Macaca mulatta: one gene and its partners. The protein of the gene in region 4 interacts with the protein of the main gene of each other region in a pairwise test. Links are inferred from orthologs where the notes say so. Each region holds a gene or a part of one and is shown on either strand. Other genes may lie near its edges.

Evidence for each region.
Region 1: the proteins of CDR2 (region 4) and ZGPAT interact in binary tests that used the Homo sapiens proteins (3 or more experiments, as listed by UniProt). The two-hybrid records come from large-scale screens. The link is inferred for Macaca mulatta from reciprocal best matches to the Homo sapiens genes CDR2 and ZGPAT.
Region 2: the proteins of CDR2 (region 4) and PKN1 interact in binary tests that used the Homo sapiens proteins (3 or more experiments, as listed by UniProt). The link is inferred for Macaca mulatta from reciprocal best matches to the Homo sapiens genes CDR2 and PKN1.
Region 3: the proteins of CDR2 (region 4) and C1H1orf216 interact in binary tests that used the Homo sapiens proteins (3 or more experiments, as listed by UniProt). The two-hybrid records come from large-scale screens. The link is inferred for Macaca mulatta from reciprocal best matches to the Homo sapiens genes CDR2 and C1orf216.
Region 5: the proteins of CDR2 (region 4) and KANSL1 interact in binary tests that used the Homo sapiens proteins (3 or more experiments, as listed by UniProt). The two-hybrid records come from large-scale screens. The link is inferred for Macaca mulatta from reciprocal best matches to the Homo sapiens genes CDR2 and KANSL1.
Region 6: the proteins of CDR2 (region 4) and TBC1D22B interact in binary tests that used the Homo sapiens proteins (3 or more experiments, as listed by UniProt). The link is inferred for Macaca mulatta from reciprocal best matches to the Homo sapiens genes CDR2 and TBC1D22B.
Region 7: the proteins of CDR2 (region 4) and SH2D4A interact in binary tests that used the Homo sapiens proteins (3 or more experiments, as listed by UniProt). The two-hybrid records come from large-scale screens. The link is inferred for Macaca mulatta from reciprocal best matches to the Homo sapiens genes CDR2 and SH2D4A.

The regions. Positions count from the first base shown.
Region 1 is NC_133415.1:116,567,355-116,571,642, reverse strand, and holds the start of ZGPAT (zinc finger CCCH-type with G patch domain-containing protein), read right to left. Parts: upstream 2,830-4,288; 5' UTR 2,750-2,829; intron 2,321-2,749; 5' UTR 2,293-2,320; coding exon 1,712-2,292; intron 1-1,711. Other genes in the region: ARFRP1 (ADP-ribosylation factor-related protein 1), read left to right, coding at 3,016-3,069, 3,726-3,824, 4,079-4,166. UniProt on the Homo sapiens protein: Transcription repressor that specifically binds the 5'-GGAG[GA]A[GA]A-3' consensus sequence. Represses transcription by recruiting the chromatin multiprotein complex NuRD to target promoters.
Region 2 is NC_133424.1:15,052,734-15,056,430, forward strand, and holds part of PKN1 (serine/threonine-protein kinase N1), read left to right. Parts: exon of another isoform or gene 1-310; coding exon 311-462; coding exon of another isoform or gene 463-512; exon of another isoform or gene 513-2,197; intron 2,198-3,697. UniProt on the Homo sapiens protein: PKC-related serine/threonine-protein kinase involved in various processes such as regulation of the intermediate filaments of the actin cytoskeleton, cell migration, tumor cell invasion and transcription regulation.
Region 3 is NC_133406.1:205,102,677-205,107,083, reverse strand, and holds the start of C1H1orf216 (UPF0500 protein C1orf216 homolog), read right to left. Parts: upstream 2,984-4,407; 5' UTR 2,806-2,983; intron 816-2,805; exon of another isoform or gene 641-815; intron 467-640; 5' UTR 462-466; coding exon 1-461.
Region 4 is NC_133425.1:21,841,611-21,846,048, forward strand, and holds the start of CDR2 (cerebellar degeneration-related protein 2), read right to left. Parts: upstream 2,953-4,438; 5' UTR 2,878-2,952; coding exon 2,799-2,877; intron 1-2,798.
Region 5 is NC_133421.1:70,935,581-70,939,277, forward strand, and holds part of KANSL1 (KAT8 regulatory NSL complex subunit 1), read right to left. Parts: intron 203-3,697; coding exon 78-202; intron 1-77. UniProt on the Homo sapiens protein: Non-catalytic component of the NSL histone acetyltransferase complex, a multiprotein complex that mediates histone H4 acetylation at 'Lys-5'- and 'Lys-8' (H4K5ac and H4K8ac) at transcription start sites and promotes transcription initiation.
Region 6 is NC_133409.1:144,908,074-144,910,916, forward strand, and holds the end of TBC1D22B (TBC1 domain family member 22B), read right to left. Parts: intron 2,568-2,843; coding exon 2,439-2,567; 3' UTR 668-2,438; downstream 1-667. UniProt on the Homo sapiens protein: May act as a GTPase-activating protein for Rab family protein(s).
Region 7 is NC_133413.1:20,954,319-20,958,536, reverse strand, and holds the start of SH2D4A (SH2 domain-containing protein 4A), read right to left. Parts: upstream 2,962-4,218; 5' UTR 2,320-2,961; coding exon of another isoform or gene 2,274-2,319; intron 2,199-2,273; exon of another isoform or gene 2,018-2,198; intron 925-2,017; exon of another isoform or gene 823-924; intron 1-822. UniProt on the Homo sapiens protein: Inhibits estrogen-induced cell proliferation by competing with PLCG for binding to ESR1, blocking the effect of estrogen on PLCG and repressing estrogen-induced proliferation. May play a role in T-cell development and function.

The DNA of each region.
Region 1 (4,288 bases), on a different chromosome or scaffold from region 4:
ACCATCCCGGCTAACACAGTGAAACCCCGTCTCTACTAAAAATATAAAAAAAATTAGCTGGGCGAGGTGGCGGGCGCCTGTAGTCCCAGCTACTCGGGAGGCTGAGGCAGGAGAATGGCGTGAACCCGGGAGGCGGAGCTTGCAGTGAGCTGAGATCAAGCCATTGCACTCCAGCCTGGGTGACAGAGCGAGACTCTGTCTCAAAAAAAAAAAAAAAAAAAAAAAGTAAAGTTTTCAAGTTGAACTCTAGAGAATAAAACTAACAACAGGGCCGGGCGCAGTGGCTCATGCCTGTGATCTCAGCACTTTGGGAGGCCAGGGCAGGTGGATCACTTGAGCTCAGGAGCGTGAAACCAGCCTGGACAACATGACAAAATCCTACCTCTACTAAAACTACAAAAATTAGCCAGGCGTGATGGCTCACGTCTGTAATCCCAGCATTTTGGGAGACTGAGGCGGGTAGATCACGAGGTCAGGAGTTCAAGATCAGCCTGGCCAAGATGGTGAATCTCTGTCTCTACTAAAAATACAAAAAATTAGCCGGGCGTGGTGGTGGGCACCTGTAATTCCAGCTACTCTGGACACTGAGGCAGAGAATTACTTCAACCCAGGAGAAGGAGGTTGCAGTAAGCTGAGACTATGCCACTGCACTCCAGCCTGGGCAACAAGAGTGAAACTCTATCTCCAAAAAAAAAAAAAAAAAAAAGCAGGCACTGTGTCTCACGCCTGTAATCCCAGCACTTTGGGAGGCTGAGGTGGGCGGATCACAAGGTCAGGAGATTGAGACCATCCAGGCTAACACGGTGAAACCCCGTCTCTACTAAAAAGTACAAAAAAATTAGCCAGGTATGGTGGCAGGTGCCTGTAATCCCAGCTACTAGGGAGGCTGAGGCAGGAGAATTGTTTGAACCCGGGAGGCAGAGCTTGCAGTGAGCCGAGATTGCGCCACTGCACTCCAGCCTGGGCGACAGAGCAAGACTCCATCTCAAAAAATAAATAAATAAACAAGTAATAATAATACAAAAATTAGCTGGATGTGGTAGTGTGAGTCTGTACCCCAATTACTAGGGGCGCTAAGGCAGGAGATCAGTTGAGCCCAGGAGGTCCAGGCTGCAGTAAGCCAGGACTGCGCCACTGCACTCCAGCCTGGTTGACAAAGTAAGACCCTGTCTCAAAAAAAATTAAAACAACAACCAAAAAAAAAAACAATGACGATAGGTTGGAGACCTATTCTCTTCCACATAAGCCTTGCACTGTTGCTCAGGCTGGAGTACAGTGGCTCCATTTCCGCTCACTGCAACCTTGGCCTCCTGGGTTCAACCAATTCTCCTGCCTCAGCCTCCTGAGTAGCTAGGACCACAGGTGCGCGCCACCACGACCAGTTGAATTTTGTGTTTTTAACAGAGATAGGGTTTCACCATGTTGACCAGCGTGGTCCTGAACTCCTGACCTCAGGTGATCTGCCCGCCTTGACTTCCCAAAGTGCTGGGATTACAGGCGTGGGCCACCGCACCCGGCCACCTTCTATGCTTCTTGATTTACCCCGGAACAAAGACGCAGACGCCTGAACACAGACACTGCTGTCACAAAGCATGCCTGCCCCAAGAAGCTGAGACAAAACTGCAAAGCAAAGGGAGGGCCACCCTGACCCGACCCTGTGTGCGTGCCCCTTACGCCCCAAGGTTGGCATCCTGATAACAAAGGGTTTTACCTGCAGTTCTCCTTGAAGCGGCACTTTCCCTCCAGGAAGAACGGGCACGGCTTCAGAGACTTGTGAGTGGGGTACAGGTAGAGCACACGGACACCCGCCGAACCATCCTCAGCCTCTTCCGCTCCCACCACCATGGCGTTGTGATACTCCAGAGTGCCCCATGAGCTGTAGTAGGGTGCGCTCACCTTTGTCCCACTCAGCTCTTCCTCGTCCTCTCCCTCTTCCTCCTCCTGCCCACCTGCTGCAGATTCGGGCCCCGCCTCTGCTTTAGGAACGGTCTCTGATCCGGACTCAGGGGCTGCTGCTGGCGCCTCCACCGCCTCAGTGATGGCCTCCCGGAAAGCCTGGTACTCAGCATCTTCCCGGCCCGTGCGCTCTTCGTCCAGCGCGGCCAGCAACTTGCTCTTCCTGACAGACACCAGGCTGGCCTCGGTGAGCTCGATGAGCTCCTTCAGGTCCCCCTGCAGCTGGCGCAGGTCCGCCTGCTCAGACGAATCCAGGCCGGCGCCCAGGGCCAGCTCCACCTGCTGCAGCTGCGCACGGTAGGTCTGCAAGGCCGACTCCAGGCTCTCCTCGTCCATGCTGAGAGAGGGAGGCGCTGGACCAGGGCTGCGAGAAGAGAAGCCAGGTGAGCCCCGCGTCTCGGGACCGGCCCCACAGACTGCGGGAGGGCACGGGCACGTCCCCTGTCCCTCGGGGAGACACCGGCTCAGAGGCACAGCTCCCAGCGCAGAGGTCGCAGACCGGGTACCCCCGCTCAGGCTCCGCGCTTCCCTTCCGAGCCGCCCTGGGCTCGCCGCTAGCCGGGTCCCGCGTCACTCCGGAGACCCCCTCCCCGCGGGGCGCCCCGCCGCCCGGCCCTCCGCCGAGCCCACCCGCCGCGCCCGCTGCCTTCCAGGCCGGCCCCGCCCCCGCGCCCGGCGTCTCTGCAGTCTGGCCAAGGCCGCGTCCCCGCAAACCGGGGTCCCCTCTCCCCGGGCAGGGAACCTCCCCCGCGCGGTTTCCCAGCTGCCGCCATAGAGAGCCCGCCGGCCTCACCGGCTAGAGCGGCCCGGCACCCCCCTTTCGTCCCCGCCGCCGACCAGCACTTCCTCCCGAGCGCCGCCACTTCCGGAAGTGCCTGGCGCGCGGGGGCAGCCGGGAAGCGGAGCGCGGAGGCCGCCGGGACGCGTTTCAGCTCATTCCCTGAGGCCGGCTCTCGTCCCGTCAGGCGCCGCGCGGGGTTAGCGCGGGGTCAGCGGAGGTCAGCGGGGGTCAGCAGCGGCGGCTCCGAGGTCGCGGCGGTCGCAGGTAGGCCGCAGGCTATGCGGTGGGGCGCGAGGCCCGAGGGGCGGCCCAGAGCTGGAGGTGGGACGCAGGTGTGACAGGAACCAGCTTTGGCTGCTTGTCGGCGAGCCTCCAACCTGGCGGCCGCGGCATGGGGCGGCCGTAGCCGGGGTCCCCGACGCGGGTTCTTTCTCCGCGGGAGTCGTTCCCTGCCCGCCGCGCGCTGCCTCCGGGAGCAGCCGGGCCGCTGCGCACCCGCCCTGTAGTCCGCTTCCCGCTGGCCGTCCCCGTTTTAAGAAATGGGTTGATGGGGCGTCCCTGGGGAGCTCCTGGGGAGCGCGCCGGCGGCTCGCTGCTCCCGGGTGGGGCGCGGGGGCCCAGGCGGGGCTGCCGCGAGTGTGTTCCCCGTTCCGCGCGCGTGAAGCGTGGGAGCGAAACCTCGGGGGAGGGCGGGAGCGCAGCGGAGCTCACCGCGAACACCCGGCTGGGTGGTCCCGCGAGCAGGGGAGGGACCGGAGCCGCTGCGGGTTCGGAAAGGTCGCAGTCATTGCTGTGAGCGGAAGGACGGAGTGGCGGCCGGCCTGGGAGGAGTTGCAGGGGTGCGGTGGAGGAGGGAGAGTCGGGAATGGCCCCCAGGCTCTCGTCCTGAGCGGCCAGCTGGACGTGGGGCGCCCCTGACCACCGTGGAGAAGCCCGGGGGCGGGGAGCTGCGTTCCGGCTGCACACTGACACATGTTGGGGCGCCCAGGGCAGGATGTACACGCTGCTGTCGGGCTTGTACAAGTACATGTTTCAGAAGGACGAGTACTGCATCCTGATCCTGGGCCTGGACAATGCTGGGAAGACGGTGAGTGCCCACTCCCTTGCCCGCACCTTTCCCACGGCCGGGTGGCCCCCGCTTCGGTTTTGTGCTGTCAGCTGCATGTTCACTACCCAGATGGAATCCACATTTCACCTGAGACGACAGGATTGTCAGCTTCCTGAAGAGCAGAGTGTTGCTTTGTTTCTGTTTTTCTCTCTTAAGGAACAGGCCTGAGGAAGGATATTTGGGAAGCCAGTGTAGCCCCTACTTGATGTGTCTGCCTCTCCCTCTCTCCTCAGACCTTCCTGGAACAGTCAAAAACCCGGTTTAACAAGAACTACAAGGGAATGAGTCTATCCAAAATCACCACCACCGTGGGTCTAAACAGTAAGAGGTCTAAACAGTAAGGGGTCTAAACAGTAAGGGGTCTAAATAGCAGGCTGTGGGTTTGGGGCCTTGAGGATGCCGTGACGTTCACAGTCCAGCTGGCCCTTGGCCACAGCCCTGTC
Region 2 (3,697 bases), on a different chromosome or scaffold from region 4:
ACAAGCCACGTACGTAGTTACTAACGGGCCTCCCAGATGCAGTGGACCCAGCACCAAGGACACACTAAGACACCTGGGTGCTCGCCTGCACTCTTTCATCCTGAGTCCTGCCCCAGCCCCGAGGAGTTTCCCCGGGTGGGTGGGTGGGTAGACTGCTGGGCCCTGGTGTCCCTCTGCCTGCCTGCCTGCTGGCCCCCAGCTCCCCCTCCCCGTGCCTCAGGGGCAATGCCCAGGCTGGGCTGAGGATGAAGCCTCCCAGGCAGACCGAGGTGACCATGCGTGATGACTCTCTCCCACCTGTGACCTGTAGATGGCCCCCAGTCCCCCGGTGCGGGCGGCCCCACTTGCTCGGCCACCAACCTGAGCCGTGTGGCGGGCCTGGAGAAGCAGTTGGCCATTGAGCTGAAGGTGAAGCAGGGGGCGGAGAACATGATCCAGACCTATAGCAATGGCAGCACCAAGGTGAGGCAGCACACGCACACACGCCGTGTGCACACACCACACCTGCGCACGTACAGTCCACCCACACGTGCACACCCACCCGCATGTGTACACATCTGTCCCCGTGTGCACATGCCCACTCGAGTGTGCACCCACGCCTGTACGTGCACACACTGGCATGTACCCCCACATCTGTACATGCACACACCTACCTGCATGCATGCACTCACCCACATGTACACACACGTATACACCCACACGTGCACACACCTGCATGTGTACACACCCTTGAACGTGCACACACAGCTGCACGTGCATGCACACTTGCACACATCCACATGTGCATATACCAGCATGTGTACATACACCCCCATGTGCACACACACCTGCGTATGCACACACACCTGCCTGTGCACCCACATCTGCATACGCATTTGCAGTGCACACGCACATGTACACACCCACATGTACACACCCACTCGTGTATCTGCACACACACTGCACATGTATACAGCTGTATACATGCACAGGTGTGAGCAGATCACAGGCTGGGGGCATAAGGTGTAGCCTACAGCTGTCCCCATGGGAGGCTGGGAGCCTTTGGATTGGGGACACACTGGCTGATGGGTGTAACCTGGTGTCAGGACTAAGGCACAGGCAGCTCATGCGGGCATATGGGAAGCGTGACTATGGGCGATGTCAGACAGACATGTGGCAGATTGTCTCCCCTCCTCCCATGGTCTCCTGCAGAGCCTCAGGCCCATCCACAGTCAGGGCAACATGCAGCCTCTCACTGCTGATGGTCTTCTGTTACAAGCACACACAATCATGTCAATACCTTGACACACACACACACCATCATAACATCTAGACACACACACACACATGCTGTCATAACATCTAGAGACACATACACACATGCTGTCATAACATCTAGAGACACACACACATGCTGTCATAACATCTAGACACACACACACACATGCTGTCATAACATCTAGAGACACATACACACATGCTGTCATAACATCTAGACACACACACACACACCATCATAACATCTAGACACACACACACCATCATAACATCTAGACACACACACACGCTGTCATAACATCTAGACACACACACACACATGCTGTCATAACATCTAGACACACACACATGCTGTCATAACATCTAGAGACACACACACACACACACCATCCTAACATCTAGACACACACACATGCTGTCATAACATCTAGAGACACACACACACATGCTGTCATAACATCTAGACACACACACACATGCTGTCATAACATCTAGAGACACACAGCGGTAACAACATCTAACAACACAGGGAGAATCCCACCACAGCCACATCTGGACACATACACACACTTACATTCATACCCAGAGACTGGTGCACACGGACGCACAGACACACACACATCCCCCATCCTGCCAGTCAGTCCCAGGAACACACAGGTCTCCACAACACCCAGAAATTCTGACACCACAAGCACAGGCCGACCTACAGCTAGAGGATTAACGTCCAGACCCACAGGCTGGTGTGCGCCTGTCCTTCCACGTGAATGTCACATGGGAGGACAGACTGCATGGATTTTTTTTAATGACACTATTTTATTTATTTTTTTGAGACAGAGTCTCACTCTGTCACCCAGGATGGAGTGCAGTGGCGTGCTCTCGGCTCACTACAACCTCCGCCTCCTGGGTTCAAGTGATTCTCATGCCTCAGCATCCCAAGTACCTGGGATTACAGGCATGTGCCACCACACCCCACTAATTTTTGTATTTTTAGTAGAGATGGGGTTTTACTATATTGGCCAGGCGAGTCTCGAACTCCTGACCTCAGGTGATCTGCCCACCTCGGCCTCCCAAAGTGCTGGGATTACAGATGTGAGCCACCTTGCCTGGCCTAACATTATTTAATTTATTTAATTTATTTTTTATTTTTATTGAGATAGGGGTCTGTGTTGCCCAGGCTGGACTCGAACTCCTGGGCTCAAGCATTCCTCCTGCCTTGGCCTCCCAAAGTGCTGGGATTACGGACCTGAGCCACTGCGCCCCATTTATCAATTGATGGACATTTGGTTGTTTCCACGTTTTTAGCGATTGTGAATAGTTTTGCTATGAACACCCGTGTACAAGCATTTGAATACCATTCCATGAAAATTTAAAACCTAGAACAACTGTGTATCTTTTTACATGTATCTGAGCATTATACACAAAAAGAATAAGACTTTCTCACCCCCTAAGAATTTCTGCCCCCTCGGGGGTGATACTGACCCGATGAAAATGAATAGAGTAGGCCAGGTGCGGGTCCCAGCACTTTGGGAGGCTGAGGTGGGCGGATCACTTGAAGTCAGCGTGGCCAACATGGCGAAACCCCAACTCTACTAAAAAAATACAAAACTTAGCCAGGCGTGGTGGCACATGCCTGTAATCCCAGCTACTCGGGAGGCTGAGGCAGGAGAATTGCTTGAACTTGGGAGGCAGAGGTTGCAGTGAGCTGAGATCACGCCACTACACTCCAGCCTGGGTGACAGAACGAGACTTTGTGTCAAAAAAAAAAAAAAAAAAAAAAAAGCTGGGTGTGGTGGCGGGCGCCTGTAATCCCAGCTACTCAGGAGGCTGAGGCAAAAGAATCGTCTGAACCCAGCAGGTGGAGGCTGCAGTGAGCCGAGATTGTGCCACTGCACTCCAACCTGGGCAACAGAGCGAGACCCTGTCTCAACCAATCAATCAATCAATAAAACAAATTGCAGCCGAGAGAGGTTGAATGGCTTGCTGGAAGCCACACAGATGTTAAGTGACAGAGCCAGGATTCAAACCCCATTTACTACATCATCCCACTGTATCCAGGAATGCATGGAAGTGCATTCATTTACTTATTTATTTATTTTGAGACAGGGTCTCACTCTGTTTCCCAGGCTGGAGGGCAGTGATGCAATCTCAGCTCAGTGATGCCTTTAGCTCCTGGGTTTGAGTGATCTTCCTGCCTCAGCCCCCTGAGTAGCTGGGACCACAGGTGCACACCACCACACCCAGCTAATTTTTGCATTTTTTTTTTTGTGGAGACAAGGTCTTGCCATGTTGCCCAGGCTGGTCTTTAACTCCTGGGCTCAGCAGTCCACCCACCTTAGCCTCCCAAAGTGCTGGGATTACAGGCGTGAGCCACCATGCCTGGCCTGCAAATGCGTGTTGTTACATCCACATGTGAACACTGCCACAGTCACCTGGGACCTGC
Region 3 (4,407 bases), on a different chromosome or scaffold from region 4:
AAGTGCTGCACAGCCTGGGCCACTGAGGGCAGAAGGGGATCGGGAGGGCCAAGGCCTCGCGGGGTCCCACAGGCAGGCTCAGGACTGCTGCTAGGGCTGTTGATACTCAAGGAACTGCTGGCATAGCCATTGTCCTCCAGAGGGGAGCAGACTGTGCCAGGACCACCCATCTTCTCAGGCTCAGCCCCGGGAATCTCTGCCCCCTCTGGGGGGCTGCGCACCCCTTCCTCAGGGGATCCAGGGGCCTGGAAGTCCTGGTTGTCAGAGGGCGACTCAGAGGAGCTCCTCCTCAGGATAGGTTCCACTCTGCCTGGCATCCCATGCCAATTCTCATTAGCATCCTTGGCACTTGCCATGAAGTTGGAGTTGTTGTCTGGTTGGAGCTCGGGCTGACATACTCCAGGAGGTGGGTCCCCCAGGAATTGGCCCCCCTCAGCTAGCCCTGGCTGGATGGCGAACATCTGGTCTGTAAAGGGAAAGCAGGAGACTGAGTCACAGTAGGACAGGGTGGGGTGCCTGAAGTCAGGGCAACTTAGCTGCAGGGACAAGGCTGAAAGCAAGAGCCCGACCACTCCCTGTCAAGCCCTTTCTCTTGACTCTGGTGACACTTCCCCTCACGGTTTTCGTCCTCCCTGTCTACCTGTTCATTCTCAGTCTCCTGCAGAGGGTTTTTCCTCAGTCCTCAGAGCCAGGCTGTCTTCTGATTTTGCACATTTCTCTCCAGAGGACCTCATTCTCTGCTGTAGCTTCAAGGTCCATCATATGCTGATGACTCTCAGATCTGTCTTCAGCCCAGATCTAACTGCTATCCAACCCTGCAACCAATCATAGGCTCCTCAAATTCTACATAACCAGTCTGGGTGCGGTGGCTCATGCCTGTAATCACAGCACTTTGGGAGGCCGAGGCAGGCAGATCACCTGAGGTCAGAAGTTCGAGACTAGACTGGCCAACATGGTGAAACCCCATCTCTACTAAAAATACAAAAATTAGCCAGGCGTGGTGACAGGCACCTGTAATCCCAGCTATTTGGGAAGCGCTTGAACCCAGGAGGCAGAGGTTGTAGTGAACTGAGATTGTGCCACCACACTCCAGCCTGGGTGACAGAGTGAGACTTCATCCCTCTCCACCCCCCGCCCCCCGCCCCCACCACCAAAATTCTATATAACCAAACAAGCTCTCCTTCAGTATCCTCAGCAAGATGGCTCCACCCTCCATCCAGAAGGCTAGGAGCATCCTGGGCTCCTCACTCTCCTTCCTTCTCCCATCTCATTGATAACCACATTCTGACCATTCTTCCTCTTCCAGGCCATTTCTGACCTGGATTATTGCCTCGGCCTTTTCACTGGTCTCTCTGCCCCCAGTTACAAATGTAAATTTCACTTGTCACCACTCAGAATGCCCTCCCTGAACTCCTGCTAAACCTCTATGTGGCCTACAAGGCCCTGTTTGATCTAGCCTCTGCTCACCCTTCCACACCTGCCTTTTGCCACTCTGTCCCTCCCATCATAGCAAACTGCCCAGAGATCTCAAAACACACCATTGTCCTTCTTACAGTATTCCTTTGGCCTATAATATCCTTCCTCTCCCCTCCCCTCAAAGCTCCTCCCTTCTCCACCCAGCAAATTCCTTTTTGTACTTCAAAATCAGCTGTAATATCCCCATATCTCCATGTACCCATGTCTCTGAAGCTGTCTTGATACTGCCGCAATCAATATTACATAAACAAGCACGGTTAGTTATGCCTTCCTCTGGGTCCCCACTGCCCTGGGTACACACTGTCTTATCCAACTTTGTGTCTGTCCCTGGCATACATGGTCGACGATCAGTGAATGTCTATTTAACTGGCAGTTTTGGTTTGTGGCAATGATCTTGTAATAGCAGTTTGTAATCTAGCTTGGACCTCCCCTATATATCCTCCATCATATTCCCCAGAGTCAGCCAGCATAGAGCCCGGAACCAGGCTATCTGTGCATACTGGTACTTGCTAAGCGAGTGAATGGGAGAAGAGACTGCAGTGAATTTCCATGCTCAGGAAGCTACTCCCGACTCCCCCGGGCTGGAAGAGCTGGGTTCAGTTCCCTCTCCTACCCCAGCCAGGGAGCCCAGCCTTCCCCAGTGACAAGCTTTTCTTCTGAGCCTGCCCACTTCCCTCCCAATGCCTCTGGAACACGGCCACTATCTTGTGTCCCTGTCCCTAGCTTGCTCCATCCTGAGGCCCTGGAGGGCGGGCATACCACACCACTCTTCTCTCCTCCATAACCTGCTTCTAACCAAAATTAGGATTTGAATTGACAAAGGAATTCTACTGACCAAACAGCACTGGGATTAGAACAATTTAAGAGCATGAAGAGGAAGGATATTGTAAGTGGAGCCGGCACTGGGAGGCGCTCCATAGGTGGCATGGACCCTCCCCACCCCCAGCAACGGGCAGAAGTCCTGGGGAGAAGGGTGTAGGAACAGTTCCTTTGTAATCGCCCTCTAAGCAAGGCTTGTGGGAAGGTGCCTACAGATCTCCCCTCGCCCCAATTTTTAATTTTTCCTATACTTGGATGGGGCCATGAAGGAAGCTGGGATGGGGTAGGGGTGGCGCTAGGGATCACAGGGTTCTCAGAAATAGTAAAATAGGAACCCCGCCACCCCAGGACTAGGTCTCCGCCCAAATAGGAGGCAGCCTCCTTTCCTGGCCTTGCGGGAGTGGGAGAACACCCCAGGAGGCAGAGACCATCCTTCCCTAGTCTCCTCGGAGGCCGCTGTGACTCCCCGCTTCCCGCGGCTGGGCCCCAAGCCCCCCGCCTCCGACTCACGGCCTAGAGGCGCCCGATCCGGCGCGTCTGGCTATGGCTCCGCCCGGCCCTGGTGGTGTCTAGTCCCTGGGCTGGGGGTTCCTCGGCCTGGGCGTCTCCGCGGTCCAAGGGTGGGTGCGGGGCTCCCGGGCAGCGCGCCCAGCCCCAGGTCCGGACTGCGGAGTCAGGCGGCGTCTGCGCGGCGGGGCGGAGCGGCCGGGCCCACGTGGGCCGGTTCGGTTTTCCGCGGAGCCGCGCGCTAGGCTCTGCGCCGGAACCGCCTCGCCCCCGCGCGGGGCCGCGTTGAACCAGGCCTTTCAGGTCCGGTGCTCTCTCCTATTGGCGTTCGCTGGGCCCTTCCCATCAGTTCACCTCACTGCAGACACCGTGCCATTTTCAAGTGAAATCTGATTAGTCACCACCTTCCGGCTTTAAACTCCTCTAGGACTTCCCCACAGCCGGGACAACCCCTAAGGCAGCAGCCGCGGGGCTCTGCGCGTCCGGCCCTCCGTCTGCCTCTCCGGCTTTGTCCTCTACCCTCCCTCTCCGCAGCTACCCTCCCGCACGCCCCTTTCCGCCACGCGGCTTTGGCACGCACGGTTCCCTCGGTCTAGCAGTCTCTTCCCCCTCTCGATTTACTCCTATTTCAGCTCTCTTCTCGGAGAAATCTCTGACTCCCTAGATCGCATTCGTTCCCCCTTGTATGTCAGGGCACGTTCCTTTTCTTCATAGCATTTATCACAATTTGGAATTATATATTTCTTTTTGTGCTACTTGACTAAAGTCACTGAGACCGGGCGCGGTGGCTCACGCCTGTAATCCCAGCACTTTGGAAGGCCGAGGCCGGCGGATCACCTGAGGTCAGGAGTTCGAGACCAGCCTGGCCAACATGGTGAAACACTGTCTCTACTAAAATAGGAAAATTAGCTGGGCGTGGTGGCGGGCGCCTGTAATCCCAGGTACTCGGGAGGCTGAGGCAGGAGAATCGCTTGAACCTGGGAGGTGGAGGTTGCAGTGAGCCAAGACTGTACCACTACACTCCAGCCTGGGCAACAGAGTGGGACTCTGTCTCAAAAAAAAAAAAAAAAAGAGAGAGAGAGAGAAAGAAGAAGATCCAGCCTGGGACAGGTCCCAGGGCTGATGTCCTGTACCTGGGATGGGGGCTCTCCACAGGACACAGAGCCCGTCCATGACACCTGTGCAGTGGGCACTAGTGCTTTTGCCCAGGTGAGGAGGAACAAGGTTATAAAAAGGGTCCTGGCTTCCAAACTCTAGTGAATTCTTCTCAGAGCTCCACTCTACTGAAGCTTGATCCCCCTCTTTTGCACCCTGGGGAAATGTGAAGTTGGGGACACTGTTTGGAATAAAAGAGAACAGAGTTTAGTAATTGCTGACCCTAATATATAAGGTACCCTCTTCCAGTTTCAACTTGATTCCAAGTCACCATTCTGCAACCTAGATACTAATTGGCAAATTGAAATCACACCAAGAAATCCTATATGCAAAAACAGGGAAAATGGAAAATAAATTTTTATGATTATGATGACTATTTTAAGAGGGAAAAGGAAATAAGAAGAAGGCAGAAGTAATTCAAACTTTGCACACTCCTCCAGCTAAGAAAAT
Region 4 (4,438 bases):
CCCAGACCTGTGTGGTTTTTTAAATTTTTTTTTTTTTTTTTTTTGAGACGGAGTCTCGCTCTGTCGCCGAGCCTGGAGTGCAGTGGTGCGATCTCGGCTTACTGCAAGCTCCACCTCCCGGGTTCACGCCATTCTCCTGCCTTAGCCTCCCAAGCAGCTGGGACTACAGGCGCCCACCACCATGCCCGGCTAATTTTTTATTTTTTGTATTTTTAGTAGAGACAGGGTTTCACCGTGTTAGCCAGGATGGTCTCGTTCTCCTGACCTCGTGATCCACCTGCCTCGGCCTCTCAAAGTGCTGGGATTACAGGCGTGAGCCACCGCGCCTGGCCAGACCTGTGTTTTTAACGTTAAACTTGAAGAGTTGATGACTTTATTTTGATCAGAGGTTAAAGAGAATTCCACCTGTAACCCTGACACGCTGCACTTGCTGCTTGATAGACTGAAGTGTTACAGCTGGTGGTTCCAAACAACCTCCAACAGTGGGAGAACGCAGCGTGGACTAAGGCACCTGATGGAAGAGAGCCATGAAAACACTTCTGTGATAGTGCTTCAGTGCAGTTCAACAAATACTAAAATCGAGCTTCCAGTATGTGCCAAGTATTATGCTAGATGCTGGGAATACCAGAAAAAAGAACCTGCCCCCTCTATACCCTTAAGGATTTATGCTTCTTAAATTTTTTTTTTTTTTTAAGACAGAGTCTCGTGTCGCCCAGGCTGGAGTGCCGCGGCGCCATCTTGGCTCACTGCAACCTCGGCCTTCTATATTCAAGCAATTCTCCTGCCTCAGTCTCCTGAGTAGCTGGGATTACAGGCACATGCTAATTATAGGCACGCCTGGCTAATTTTTGTATTTTTAGTAGAGACGGGGTTTCACCTTGTTGGTCAGGCTGGGCTCAAACTCCTGATCTTGTGATCCACCCGCCGCGGCCTCCCAAAGTGTTGGGATTACAGGCGTGAGCCACCGCACCCGGCCTATGCTTCTTAAATACAGGAAAGAAAAATATTTAGTTGTGATGATACAAATTAAATTATAGGGAAATACTGCAATGGCACAGTGGTTGCCTCACAAATCCTGGAGAAACTATCAAACTAGGCCATCAATCCCTATGGGGAAATCTGAAAACAGGTTTGTTAAAACGTATGAGAAATGTGTCCTTTGGACATAAAGATGATGCCACCAAACACTGCACTGCAACCACTAAGCAGCTTGGACTCTATAAGCGTAATAAAGGTGAATTACTTTGGTTAAAGTGATTGCATGTTAATTTAAGAAATTATCTTCCTCCAAAAGAGGTGCTCGTTTTATTTTCCTTTTCTGAGTTACTCAAGTCTACACAGTTTCCTTCTGCCATGTTCAGTGGTTAGCATGAACAAGCATCTGCCATGTTCAGTGGTTAGCATGAACAAGCATCTGCCATGTTCAGTGGTTAGCATGAACAAGCATCAGCATCATTCAATATTTAACTAAATGAGATGTTAATTTTCACTGCAAGATTAGAGCTGAAAACATTTACATAGAATTGCAGAAACCAAAGATGCCGGGAAAAATTCCTGAGGATTATTCACAGTGTTCAGTATAGCGGTTAAGAATGTTTGCTCTCGAGTCTTAAGGGGAACCCTAGCACTCCCCAACATTATCACCTCTATTGTGTTACTGGGAGATAAATGAGCAACTCTGTTATGGGCCTATCAGTGTTAGGCACATCAAAAGTGTTCCCCAATTGCTAGCTCCTGCTATTAGTATAAAAAAAAGTGGGGCCCCACTGGCCCCAAAGTGTTGGCTGCTCTATGATTGTTCTCTGGAGACACCATCGGCAGGCCTATTTCTAAGTGAAAGCTGGCATGCAAACTGAAGAAAAGTGGCAGAGGTAGAAGCGCTCTTCTGTCATTTCAACTGGCATCTGGTGAACTATGCGTAACAGCTTAATTCCCAACTGAAAAAAAACTGTTAACTAGGATGGTAAGGAAGGGATGGGGGTTTGAGGAGTGACTACAACTCCTCCTTTTGAGTGTGTGGGTTCAAAAAACCACTCCCTCCCCCACTTAGCTTTAGGCAAGCCACTCAACCGTTTCAACCTCCGCTTTCCTCATCTGGAAAATGGGATAACAAAAGTTACTCTCAGTGTAATTGGATTGTTTGTACCTCAATGGATAAATGCTGGAAGGGATGGACGCCCCGTTCTCCATCACGTGCTTATTTCACACTGCGTGCCTGTATCCAAACATCTCACGTACCCCATAAATAGATACACCTACTATGTACCCTCAAAATTAATCAATTTTTTAAAAGTTACTGTCTCCTAGAGTTACGGCGCAGAGCGCACAGCTCCCGCTACATCGCAAAACCACTACCACCTGCAGCAGCCGGCCCTCCGTGCTGGCCAAGAAAGGCGCTGGGCTACACAGCCTGCGAGGGGGCGGCTTCTCGGGCTCTGCCACTTACTACGGGACACACTGGCTCACCCGGTCTGCCTCGGAGGAATGCAGTGAGGATTAAACTAGCTAATCCACGGAAAGCGCTTAAAACGGTGCCTGGCGCGTCCCTGGCCCCCATGCGCCTCGGGTCTGATATTCAACTGCGCATTAGCAGGGCCGTGGGCCCCGCGCCGAGGCTTCCTGCGGGCGGGATCCACGGGCACGGCCGGCCCCGCCGCCAGGTGAGCCCGAGCCCTTCCCGGCACCTGCATCCTCAGCCGCCAGAAAAAGCAACTTTTTAACAGTTTCGCAGCGGGGGCCTCCCGGGCCAGGCCGCCGCCGCCGCCGCCCGCCCGCCCGCGGGGCGCCCCCGCCCTCACCTTGCTGGAGGTCCTGGTGGTCGTACCACGGCTCGTCCTCCTTCATTTCAAACTCCTCCACCAGGTTTTCCGCCAGCATCTCGGCTGGGTCCTCTAGGGGCAACGGTCCCCGCCGCCGCCGTCCCGCCTCAGCCGCTGCCCCGGGCTCTTCCCCGGCCCCTCCGCCCTCAGCCAGAGCCGCCCTCGGGCGGGACGCGCCGCCGCCCAGGCTCCGCCGCGCCGCCTCAGCCCCGTTCCCGCCGGCGACCGCCGCCGACCGGCCGGCTGCTTCGACTCGCCTAGCGCCTCCCAACGGCCCCAACGGCCGGGCGTTACGGCGCGAACGTAGGGAGCCAGGTTCTCACGCTGCCGCCGGTCTTCACGCCGCCGCCGGGCCCAACGTGGCACTTTGGCAGAACCCTCCCCGGCCGGGGATGCGATTCAAACCCCCGGCGGCTTCTCAACCAATCGCGAGCGGGCCGCTGGCCGAGCGACAGGGACTTCGTCCAATAGCGTCTCTCCAAAGACCCGCGGCTCGCCCGGTTTCGAGGCCAAGCAGCCAATGACGGGCCCCGAATAAACAAAGAAGGCGGGGAAACAGTGAAGGGGTGCGGCCGAAAGCCCGCCCCCTGATCTGCGCTGTGCGGCTCCTAGGAGCGCGTACTAGGTTCCGGGCTGTGGAGCTGGCGGAGGCGAGTCCTGCCGCTTTGGTGGGTGTCCCGAGGCCAGCGCGTCCGTGGACAGGCAGCGCAGGCCGGAGGGCCTAGGACTTCGGCCTCTGAGAGGCGGGCGGTTGTCGAGAGGCGTCCTTCGTGCCGGCGGGAAGCGCGAGGGTGCCGGAAGCCGGAGGTCCGCCGCCCGGCTGCCGCTTCTCGCATGTTGACTCTGAGATTTGCTCCGGGTCCGGCAAGGAGACTCGGAGTCGATCGGGAGTTTAGGGCTGAGAAAACGCCCACTGAGCGGTAGCTCTTGTCTCGTTGACATCTGAGCTCTGGGAATTACGCTCCCTAAAACGGTGGGCGCCAGACCCCGTTGAGAATCTGGGGCAGTGAGGGATGCCCGAAGCTGTCCACTTGGAGGGGGAAAATTGTAAGCAGGGTTGCAACGATTTTTAAAAGGTACCTCTAGACCACAAGTTAAGCATCTGGGGACGTGGCATTGCACCTGGAGGGGTCAGGCTGCAGCCCCAGCACTTAGTAGCCAGCAAGGCAGAGCACGCTGTCCTCCACCGACATAACCCAGCAAATACTGCTCATGAGTAAAGCTTTTAGCACCATCTTACAGACAAAGCACGGAAACTCTTAAGCAGGATGACAGACCTGAAGGTCAATGTTCTCAACCTTGACGTAAAGGTAAAATTGCAGCTGATGGAAGACAGCAGGGCCAATATCTAGCAAACTTTGAGCAACGAAACAAAAAAATCGAGGTTTAAGTATATAATTGAAAGATTATCTCTAGAACATAAGGTAATAAACTGTTAGAAATTCGGAAAGAGGGAAGAGGTGGAGAGGAGTGTTAGTTAAATCCTGATCTATTTTAGCAGTGAGTCGACAGATAATACCTTACATTGATAATCCAATAAATCGTTTCCACAAATATGGAGAGAGCTGCCAGAACTAAAAATGGGAAGCAGTTAAGAGTTTTCCGAGGCCGGACGCGGT
Region 5 (3,697 bases), on a different chromosome or scaffold from region 4:
CTAGGTCAGAAGAGAACAGGGAAAAAGGGCAATAGCAGGAAGAATGGGGAGAGGGACCAACTATTCTGAGCTTCTACCTGGGAGTAAGGATTTCCTTGTATTGCAGTTTCTCTACGCGAGTTGTTGCAGCAACAGACATTGGGATGACAATGTTGTTAATATCAAATGAGCTCTCTCCCCTTCTCCTCCTAACTGGCTGCTGCTGTAAGATAAAAATTAAGTTTAAAAGGGAGGTACAATTTTACAGACATCAAATCATTCATCTAAGACTTAAAGCAGGATCACCAATAACCAGGCATCTGGGTCCTTGGGTTGAAGCTGAGCAGTGACCATAGGAGCTGCTCCCACCTAGGAGTCAGTCTTCAACAGCAAAAACCTTGCGGAGAAATACTAGGTGGTTGTGAGGAGTTATTCCTATTCATAAGTCCCACTGGTCACCCTCTTCCTTCAAGGGCTCATGTGTAAATTTCATAGGGGTGGGTACCTGGGATCTTAACTGTTGGGGTTTCTACTCCATATACACCTCTATTAACCACCTCTCCTTTTACAATCCTCATTGCCCTCCTTTATCCCCATTTATGACTTGACACTCATAGTGGCCCCTCCCCAAAAAGCAATGCTTGAAAGCTTATCCTGAAAGATGCCCAAAGGGTAGGCCAATCTCAATAGATCATCTAACCTTGGTTGTCATGAATGCACCTCCTTCTCGAAGATCTGAACTCTTCTGCTAAATCTGCACCCACCATCTGCTCAGTCTTTATGTGATTTCCCCTCTTTTGGTGATTCTTGGGGAAACATCTGAGAGCTTTCTAGCTGTATCAAAGGAGATGAATGGAGGGAAACTGAAGAGGAGAACCTGACTATACTTCACATTCCTGGTGAAAGGAAATTTGCTTCTATAGGAAGTTGAGAAGACCAAACTCTTAAGAAAAATAAGACTTCCAAGGATCGAATATCAGAGGCAGAGGTAGGCATCTACAGTAGCTGGGAGACCAGGGAACTAAATGGCTTAAGTCTCTTGGATGGAAGAAAAAGTCTACTATCTGCTGCTGCCCAGATAGTTAATACCCTATCCTGAAACAAACAAGCAACTGAGCTGTGAGAGGCCAGAGTCAAACAGTGGCATAACAAACACGCTGTCATGGCAACAAAACAGCTGGAAAACACCTAAGAGGCTGCATTTACACCTAAACCACTAAGTGTGGTCAGCCCACCGGGAAGGGGTTGGTGGTGGAAGAAGTCCCCTACAACTAACCACTCTATCCTCTGTTCCTGGAGGGTGAGATGCAATTTATTTATCCTATCATCTTAGGACATTCTCAGAGAATGTTGAAAGTCAGCACTTCCTGGGCCAGAGTTTCAGTCACTGTCATTTATAATTTCAGATGACCACAATGCCCTTTTCACTTCAATTTCTTTCTCTATCAAATTAGATGACTGTCAGTGACCTCAGAAATTTAGGATATCTGGTTAACCAAAATGGTTAAACAGACTTTTGGGAATCTTGCCTGAGTTCTGTAGCTGAGGATTAATGATCTCATACCCAGAGACCTCTGCCACTGCCAGATCTCTGCTGCAATTATACATCCCACTACAAGAAATGCATCTTAAGAAAGCCTCAAGAGAGAGAGCCTTCCCAGTATAAATGTGAATAAATGTGAAACTGCTGGCAGAAACAGGTATATACTTTCCCTGAAACTTCCTGGGCTTGTTGTTAGAACCTTCCAGAAAAAGATAGTGGAGCAGGTTGTGGGATGGTTCAATTGGCTCTGTATGTCATCCTCCGCCTAGACACACCCCCAATTCTGTCAGCTACTCATTTGGTGTAAATTAACTAGTATCTCCTATTTAGAGCCAGAGATAGAGAGCAGGTGATGAGAATAAAACTGATTCCCAAACTTGGTTGTATATCAGAAGCAAGATTAAGGAGTATTTATAAAAAAAAAAAAAAAAAAAAAAAAAAAAAGGTTCTAGGACTCCCCCTGCTCTTTTATAAAATCAGAATCTTTTTGTTTGTTTGTTTAAGAGATGAGGTCTCACTGTATTGCCCAGGCTGGACTCAATCTCCTGGGCCGAAGAGATCTTCCTGAGTAGCTGGAGCTATAAGCATGCAAGATCACACCCAGCAACAAATCAGATCTTTAGAAGTGTTTGGTTGGTTTGTTTTGTTTTTTAAAGCTGCTGAGGTGATTCTGATGCAGCTACTGGCTTTTGGGAAGCACTCAAACACTCCCCCTCCTCCCTACCTTTCTCCAGTGGCCTCTGGCTTCTTTCCCTGATTTCAAGGACAGCTGGCCCTCTGTATCCATGGGTTCAACCAATTGTGGATTGAAAATATTTGGGGGGGAAAAATTGTGTCTGTACTGAACAGGTACAGATTTTTCTTGTCATTATTCCTTAAACAATACAGCATACTATTTATATAACATTTACACTGCATTAGGTATTATCAGTAATCTGGAGACGATTTTAAGTATATGGGATTTAAAGCATATGCATACATTATATGCAAATACTGTGCCATTTTATATTAGGGACGTGAGCAACTATAGATTTTGCTATCTACGGGAGGTCCAGAACCAATTTTCTTTTTTTGAGACAGAGTCTCACTGCGACACCCAGGCTTGAGTGCAATGGCTTGATCTCCGCTCACTGGAACCTCCACTTCCCGGTTCAAGTGATTCTCCTGCCTCAGCCTCTACAGTAGCTGGAACTACAGGCACATGCCACCATGCCCAGTTAATTTTTGTATTTTTAGTAGGGATGGGGTTTCACCTTATTGGCCAGGATGGTCTTGAACTCCTGACCTCAAGTGATCCACCCGCCTCAGCCGCCTCCCCAAGTGCTGGGATTATTTACAGAAATCTAGTGTCTTTGAGAGCGTCAAGGGTTAGCATAGGGCTATACACAAAATTTTTACTCAATAAATAGTAAAAATTTCAAGTGATCCAGGCCTAATTTAACATTCTCCAGACACAGAAATATTGAAGTGCTCACTAAGTCCTGAATCTCTGACTTCAGATTTTCTATCAGAATTAGACTCTCTTTTATAAATACTGAAACTCTTTGCTGCTGGATAACTGAGTATGTGAGGGACACTACACACCTATTTAGATAAAATTTGTGGGTGAGGGGGATAAAGAAAGGGGAAGAGCAAAGAGACCATTTGGAAAAGATTGATTTTTAACAGCAAAGAGAGAACAGTGTGAATTCCTACCTGATCACAGGAGCCTAGTGAGTCCATTTTATGAGCTTGGAAGTTTCCTGATCTAGGCTGTGAAGGAACTTCCTAAGTTGCCTCTGCAATACCCTCACCCAGGTTTAGCCTGTGTAGTGTAATGTTAAAAGAGCTGGCTCTACAGTCAGGCTGCCTGAGTTTGAATCATAATTATAACCCTCACAAGCTGCCTTCACAGTTTTCACTCATACAAAATGAAATCCACAGTACTAACCTACATCTCAAAAGGCACTGTAACATGTAACACATGTAAATCACTGATCACTGGCATGTACTAAGTGTTCAATAAACATTACAGTTATAGAGTTTTACATTTACCATTACATTATAATTATTATACAAAAAGGACCTTTTGAGTAGGTACAGAGCAGCTACAGGTATATATGTTCAAAGAGGGCACACTTGAGGAATATTAGAATGAAATTAAAGGAAATGTCTCTGGAATAGCTGTGCAAACTG
Region 6 (2,843 bases), on a different chromosome or scaffold from region 4:
GGAAGGAATTCTGGGTGGGGAAACCATTCCAACCTGTCCTTTGTAGATGAAATGTAATCAGCTACCTTTCTTGAGATATTTCACAGTAAGGTTACCAAGAAAAAAATCAACAGCTGACGACCAAAATGAGACTTAAAGACAACCTTACATGGCGGCCGTCTTAGTTCTTTCTGCTTTGGTGGAAACGCACTGAACAGGCAAGCCAGGACACCGGTCCTCTGGTTCTTACTCTGATGACTCTGATGCTGTCTTCCTTGGCCTTGGCTTGGATTTTCCTCTGTGAATGAGGGGGTTAAACTAGATATCTCCAGGTTTTCATCCAGCACAGAAATTCTAGTCTGTTTTCTACCATCCATCAGATAACATACTCCTTTCGGATGAATCAAATAATCCATGTAAAGTGCTTATCAAAGTGGTTGGCAAGTTAACTCCTTTTAGTAGTTTCATTTACCAAGTTACTCATTTGTGTAGTTTCCACAGTACCTTTCACAGATGGATGCTGGGTAAGTGTTTGCTGGCTGTCCTCTAAGAATGCTTTTTGATCCTCTGCTGATCCCCTGCTCACCTCACAGAAGGCCTGACCGCACACGTACTAGTATCAGCAAGAAAAACTCAGGAAGAGGAGACTCTTTAGGTTCCATGAACACACAGGAGAAAAACCAGCAGATGGAGGAGGAAATACACCATTTATTTACAATTCTTTTCACTTTATCCACAATTTCCCATACAAACATAAAAACTAAAAAAATAAAACCACCACTTGGGAACACAAGTGTCTTTCTTTAATTAGTCCGGTTGAGGGGACCACTGAGGCACACCGAAGGGGAAAAGGAAGAGGGTCGGGAAGAATGCCTGAGAAACAGCTCCAGATGAGAAACCTAACTCACACTGGTGTGGTGGGCCTCACTGGCAAAGAGACTCAAGGGTGTTACCCACCAGGGATGCTGCTCGGCTTCCCAGGAGGATGACAGCTGCTGGCCCCCATCCCCCCACCCTCCACTACCAAATACCAAAACTCAAACAAGGGGTCACACATCTCATGAGCTGTGTGGGGAGTGAAGGTGACAGTAAGGGACAAGGAGTGCTGCTCTCTGAGAAGAGCCCCAAACCCGAGGGACACACAGGAAGCCCCTTTCCTTGGCACAGTCTTCAGTCACAGCTTCTGTCCTGAATACAACGCTGAACTTGAAAATGTGAAAACAAAAGCCCTCCCCAGATTCCGGGGAAGGTGGGAATAAAAACACATAGAGAGGGCTTGCCCGCCTCTGCAGTCCCTTCTTGGGGAGGCTGCTAGGAGCAAAGCGAAGATGCTCCAGGAAAGTCTGGGGGTTGGAGGGCAGGGTGAAGAAAGGGGCAAGGAGGACTCTGAGACACTGATGCTTGGGATGGCTCCACCCGCTCAGCCACTCACTCCAGCAGCCTCCCGTTCTACCCCTCACAGCAGGACACCCAGGACCAACCTGGAGGCGCTGAAGCCACCTTCCTGGCAACTTCCTCTGTGCTAGTGACCTAGATTGCTTCCACATGTTGATGCACATTATAAATATAAAATCATATCTGCTTACAAAGAGGACATATATTTGTACATCTTTACCCATATACATAATAACACAATTTACACATAATATCTTGGAGTGGGTCATCATGGAAAAGGAGTTTGGAGAGGTAAACAGCCCCTTCTGCCTCCCCTGCCCTGATCCCTCTTCAAGGGATGCTTATACACTTGGTCACTGGGGCCCTTCCCAACTAGTCTGATGGGGCTCATCTGGACACAGAAATTCAGACATGTGACTAAATGCTGATGGGTGTGTATACACATTCACACCCACACACACATGCAGACACCTGGTGAGAAAAGGAAAAATAAAATTCCTAGCTCTTGGGTGTAGGCCTCTTCCCAGAGTTACAAGCATCAGTGTCTCCTCCATCTAGAATAATGGTTTTAAAAAGCTACCCCTCACTGGCTCAGACTAGGGCAGACGGGGAAGGGCTAGGAAACCAGGGAGAGGGAAGAGGAGCCGGGAGTCTTTTGAAAATATAAGGCGTTTTTGACCTGTGATCAAATCAAACTATGTTCACAAAAAAAAGCAACAGTTTTCAGTTGGGGCCTGTCCCTGTAGGGACAATGTGAGTTGAGACCCTGAGCCTTCCCCTTCTTTGTCCAGTTTCTTTTAAAGGGGCAGACAACCCTGTACCACCTTTTCTGTCCTCTCCCAGAACTGGGCCCATCCACGTGGCATGGAATACTGACAGTGGTCCAAGTGACACATCCAGAGACATGGAGTGGTGGACGCCAGAAAGTTAAGACCTGGGCGGCGGGTGTGAGCTTTGTACAACAGGAGTGGTTCCTGGCCGGGGTCCACGGCTCGCACAGTGGCCACAGTGATCAGACTGCCATCAGAGATGAGGGCAGTCTGGGTCCCCGGAGGAGACAGCACCTATCGGCGGTAGTGATTCGGGGCATCGGCAAACATGTACTTGAGTCTGTATGCCTCGGCGAGAAGCAGCCCAATCTCTTCGTTGCCCCAGTGTATTGTAGGTAGGTTCTGCAGCAGCATGAGGAGACCCTGGAATGCAAGAAAGGGCTTTTTTATCATACCAGACTATAGACCAGCGGACCAGCAACCCCATTCTTAGAGACCAAGGCCTAGAATGGGGCCCCTTCCTCCTGGCTCACACATCCCAAAGAGTCCAGCCTCCTTCCTCCCAACAGCACACAGCTTTCAGTCCTAGTTCACCTCAGGAAGCCTTGCAAGCCTCTGCTGATTCTCTAGTCCGCTAACATCTGCCTCTTTAAAAACATAAAAACATAAATAGGGAATGACAACAATAAAGATTTTTTT
Region 7 (4,218 bases), on a different chromosome or scaffold from region 4:
CACCCCAAGGCTTTCTCAGACTCCAACTCAAGCTCAGCATAGTGCACCCGAGACACCCAGAGGCACTCCAGCCTCAACTCCCAGCTCCGCCTCTAATGAGCAGTGTGGCTATCACCTCGCCTCCTCGGGACTCAGTTTCCTCATCTGTGAAATGAGGGCTGGTTCAGTCTGTGACTCCTAATGAGTCGGTATGTGACATAATCTACTGTGAAGTGAAGGAGACTGGTGGAGCCACGGTAGAAGAAATAGAAATGAGGAAATTAACTAACCAGGGTTTTCCCACTTTCATTCCCTGACGAGAACAAATAATCATTGCTGATACGGATTCAAATGCTGAGGACTTTCCCATACTATATCAAGGGCAGCAAACCTCCAGTTATTCAAGATCCAACAAAGGAATAGCTCAGCTAACACAGCACCTTTCTTAAAAGAGAGAAATGATAAGAAGCAAGCCCACACCTGCAATTTATTCTGAACAGCAATTGCTAAAGGATCAGAGAATCTGTTGTTTTCCATGATACCATAGATTTGACCTGATTCTCACACCTTCACACTGTTCTACCATACAACTGTCTTTTGGATAACTCTGATACCTAAACAAAATAAAAAATTTTAAAGGCCTAAGATACAGCCTAAATCATAAAAATAGTAGGCCAGGCACAGTGGTTCAAAATGTAATCCCAACACTTTGGGAGGTGAATGTGGGTGGATTGCTTGAGCTCAGGAGTTCGAGACCAGCTTGGGTAACATGCCAAAACTCCATCTCTACACAAATATAAAAATTAGCCAGGTGTGGTGGCCCACACCTAGAGTCCGACCTACCTGGGAGGCTGAGGTGGGAGGATCACTTGAGCTGGAGAGTTTGAGGCTGCAGTGGGCCAAGATCGCACCACTGCACTACAGCCTGGGTGATAGAAGGAGACCCTGCCTCAAAAATGAAAAACATTAGGTCGGTGCAAAAGTTATTGTGTTTTTTTATGGCCTAAATAAATAAATAAATGTGGTTTTTGCCATAAAAAACACAACTACTTTTGCACTTACCCAATAAAATAAAAAATAAATAAAAGTATTGTGGTATGGACAGTGTAACTATAACATTAACAATACAGCTTGAATTCTAATTCTTTTAAAACAGCCAGCTCTGTGGTCGAGCTTTGTTTTCTTATTCAAACTTTATCTTATTCATCTACCAGCAAAAGAGCTGTTTTTGGAGATGAAACAAATTACCAGAGATGACAGCAATTTGGCAAGTTTTGTAAATATATACTATTCTTCAGAAATTTGAAGTTACTGTACACACAGATTTAGTATACATAGAAAATTCCACTCCTATGCCAAATCTATGCCCCTGTATGCTTTCCACTTATTTATTCACTATTTTAAAATAATGGTACCCAAGTCGTTGTTTCCATTAAACCAGCAATCAAATAAAAGCCTTTTGGGCGATGAGGAGCATCTGTTCGGAAGGGGGAGGTGCCACGCTTGCTGTTTCTCTAAGCTCCCTGGGAAGGGAAAGACAACTCAGAAAACCTACAAACTGTAGCTCCTTCCGGTGCCCGCGTAACCCCCGAGTCCAGGAGCGGGCAGGGGCGCCGCTTGGTTGAGCCCAGTGGGCACCCGGTCTGGGTCTGGGCCAGCCCCGCCGCAGCAGCCCCTGGGAGGCGGCGCTGCACGGGCCTCCGCGCGCGCCCTGACCCCACTTGGGGGCGCCCCTGGGTGCCGGCGCGCGGGGAACGCGCTGCCGGGGTGCTGCGCCGGCTGCCACTGTTTCCCGGGACTTCCCTCTTGGAAGATCTCCAGGCGCAGGTCCAGGACGTGCTCCTGCTAGGAGTCTAGAAACTCCAGTCCAGCCCGGACCCTCCCGGGGCCTGCACTCCCTGCGGGTAGAAGCACGCGCCGCGTGTCCCCGCCGGATCCCAGAACTTCCCCGAAAGTCCTCAGCTCCGGCAGACCCTCTCCCTCGAAGTTCCCCCCGCCACCCCTTGCAAGCCCCCAGACCCCGGGGACAGCCGCTCACCTAGCCAGCGGCTCCAGTCACCGGACACCGGACACCGGACACCGGATACCCGCCGCAGCCGCTCTAGCCGCCTAACCCCGCACCTGAGCCCGCCCCGGGCGGCGCGAAGGGGTGGAGGCGGGGGTGAGGCTTCCGCCCGCCCCCTCTGGCCCCTGCGCCTCCCATGCACCCCTGCAACCCCCGAGGAAATTCCCTTCCCCCTACTCCCACCCCATGCACACTCTCGCCAAAGCCTCTCCCCAACCCCAGCACCTACCAGTGCTGGGCGCCCCTGGGCAGGGTGGCCCGATCACCCGCCACATCCACTTGGCCGCCAGAAGCCGTCGGGGAAGGGAGGGAGGGAAAGGCAGAAGCGTCCCAAGCGGCGCAGGCGGGCTGAGCAAATACTCTGACCGGGACGCCAAACAGCTCCTGCAGCCGGCCCGCCCGCGCCGCCCCGCCGCGCCCACATGCCGGGTGACTAGCGGGGCGCGATCGCGGCCCCACCCGGGCGCCTGGAGGCTCTCCAGGGACAGTCGTCGGCCAGGCTGCGTGGCCTGCGCATCTCGGGCCGCCTGGTCTGCGCGCTGTCCCCGAGCTGCGGTAGTCCGGGGTAGCCTTGCTCCTCTCCTCTCTTAGTTCGTGGGACTGGGATCTGCAGTCTATGATCTCTTGGGGACTGCAGGACTTAGATTAAATCAGCAGGTCTGGGCCTTTCCATGTTTCAGAGCTCGGGGTTCCATGCGAGGTGGAGGGTAGGAGGGTGCGCGGGCCCCACTTGTTCACTCGGCTTGGGTGCCGCAGGCCAAGGCGACTCTAGAGCTTTTTTTTTCTTTCTTTTGTTGACATTAAGTAAATGATCAAACTCTTTGGCACTTGTCGGTACAGGTGTGGCTTTGTAGGACAAGATGAAGGACGGAAAAGGCTGAGAAGGAGACCGCAGTCAACACAGACCAGGAGAAAATGAAAGAAAACTGGGGAAAAAGTTAAGATGCTGAAAGGAGTCTTGTGGATTGCAACAAGAACAGGTTGGGTTGGGGCCTGAAGACATCAGGGAGGAGCTGGCAGTCCACAGTTAGAGGAAATCTTGGAGGAAAATTCAGCAGAAGCAGAGTGGAAAGGCATTTCCACTGGAGGGCATTTTCCATCCTAGAGGAGTATGTGGAAGAAAACCGCCTGCTTTGGTGAACCCCAGATTTTATGTGTTGGGAGAGATGTAATAAATAGCAAACACCAGTAGTCCTCTCCACAGACTACCTGACCTCTTCAGGAGCCTGACCTGCTGGGTTCAAACATAAAACGTCATTCCCCGCCTTTACAAACGGCAGAAGCTATGCAGTCACATCAAGCCTCGGGGCAGGCGGCATTGTCAGGAAACAAGACCCAGCTATTTAGGAACCATTCCAGGGATCCCATCAGGGAGAAATTTCTGGTCTAAGGCTTAGTTCCTACTGCAGTTTAAATGATAGCCTATGGGGTGCTTTAGGCTGGAGTGGGATTGGCCCCTGGAAAGCTACTATGGCGAGGTCGAAATGAATCCTAGCCCTGCATGGATGGATCGGTTAACTATACAGGGTGGTTTATCTGGAAAAATCCCATAGGACACTGTGACAGCCACTTACCTTTCTCATACCCAGTCTCTCTCCAGGTCCTGACAAGTCCTTCCTTATAATAGCTCTGTCACTGTGCTACTAACCTCTGTACCTCAATTTCTTCTCTGGATAGAGTGTCTGCCTCCGTAAGTTGTTAAGAGGGTTAAATGAGATACCGCATGCAAAGGGATTAGAACAGCTCTTGGCATGTGGTGAGTGTTCAAACACATTTGCTCAGATCAGTTCATATCACATTAAGGTACTATAATTCCAGGTTCCTGCTATCTCACCCTAGGCTATGGTTCTGCCCACCATGCCACTTACATTCCAAGTCATTCCCAGGGATCCCGTCTTCCTGTTATTCATACCCTTGCATAGCTCCCCGCCACTTTGTAAAGGTTGGTTTGCTTGACCAATAGAACCCGGCAGAAGTGATGATGGTATGCCACTTAGGAGATTAGGTAAGGAAACATCTTGGAGCTTCTATCTTGAAAGAATGTTAACAGCCCAAAGGAACACACACTGTACACAAATAGCACAATCAGCTCAGAACCCAGACTCTTCCCTTTTCTCTCTGCCCCTTTCCATCCTTCTTGTCTCATGCCTCTTTCCTGTATTTGGCATGATCTC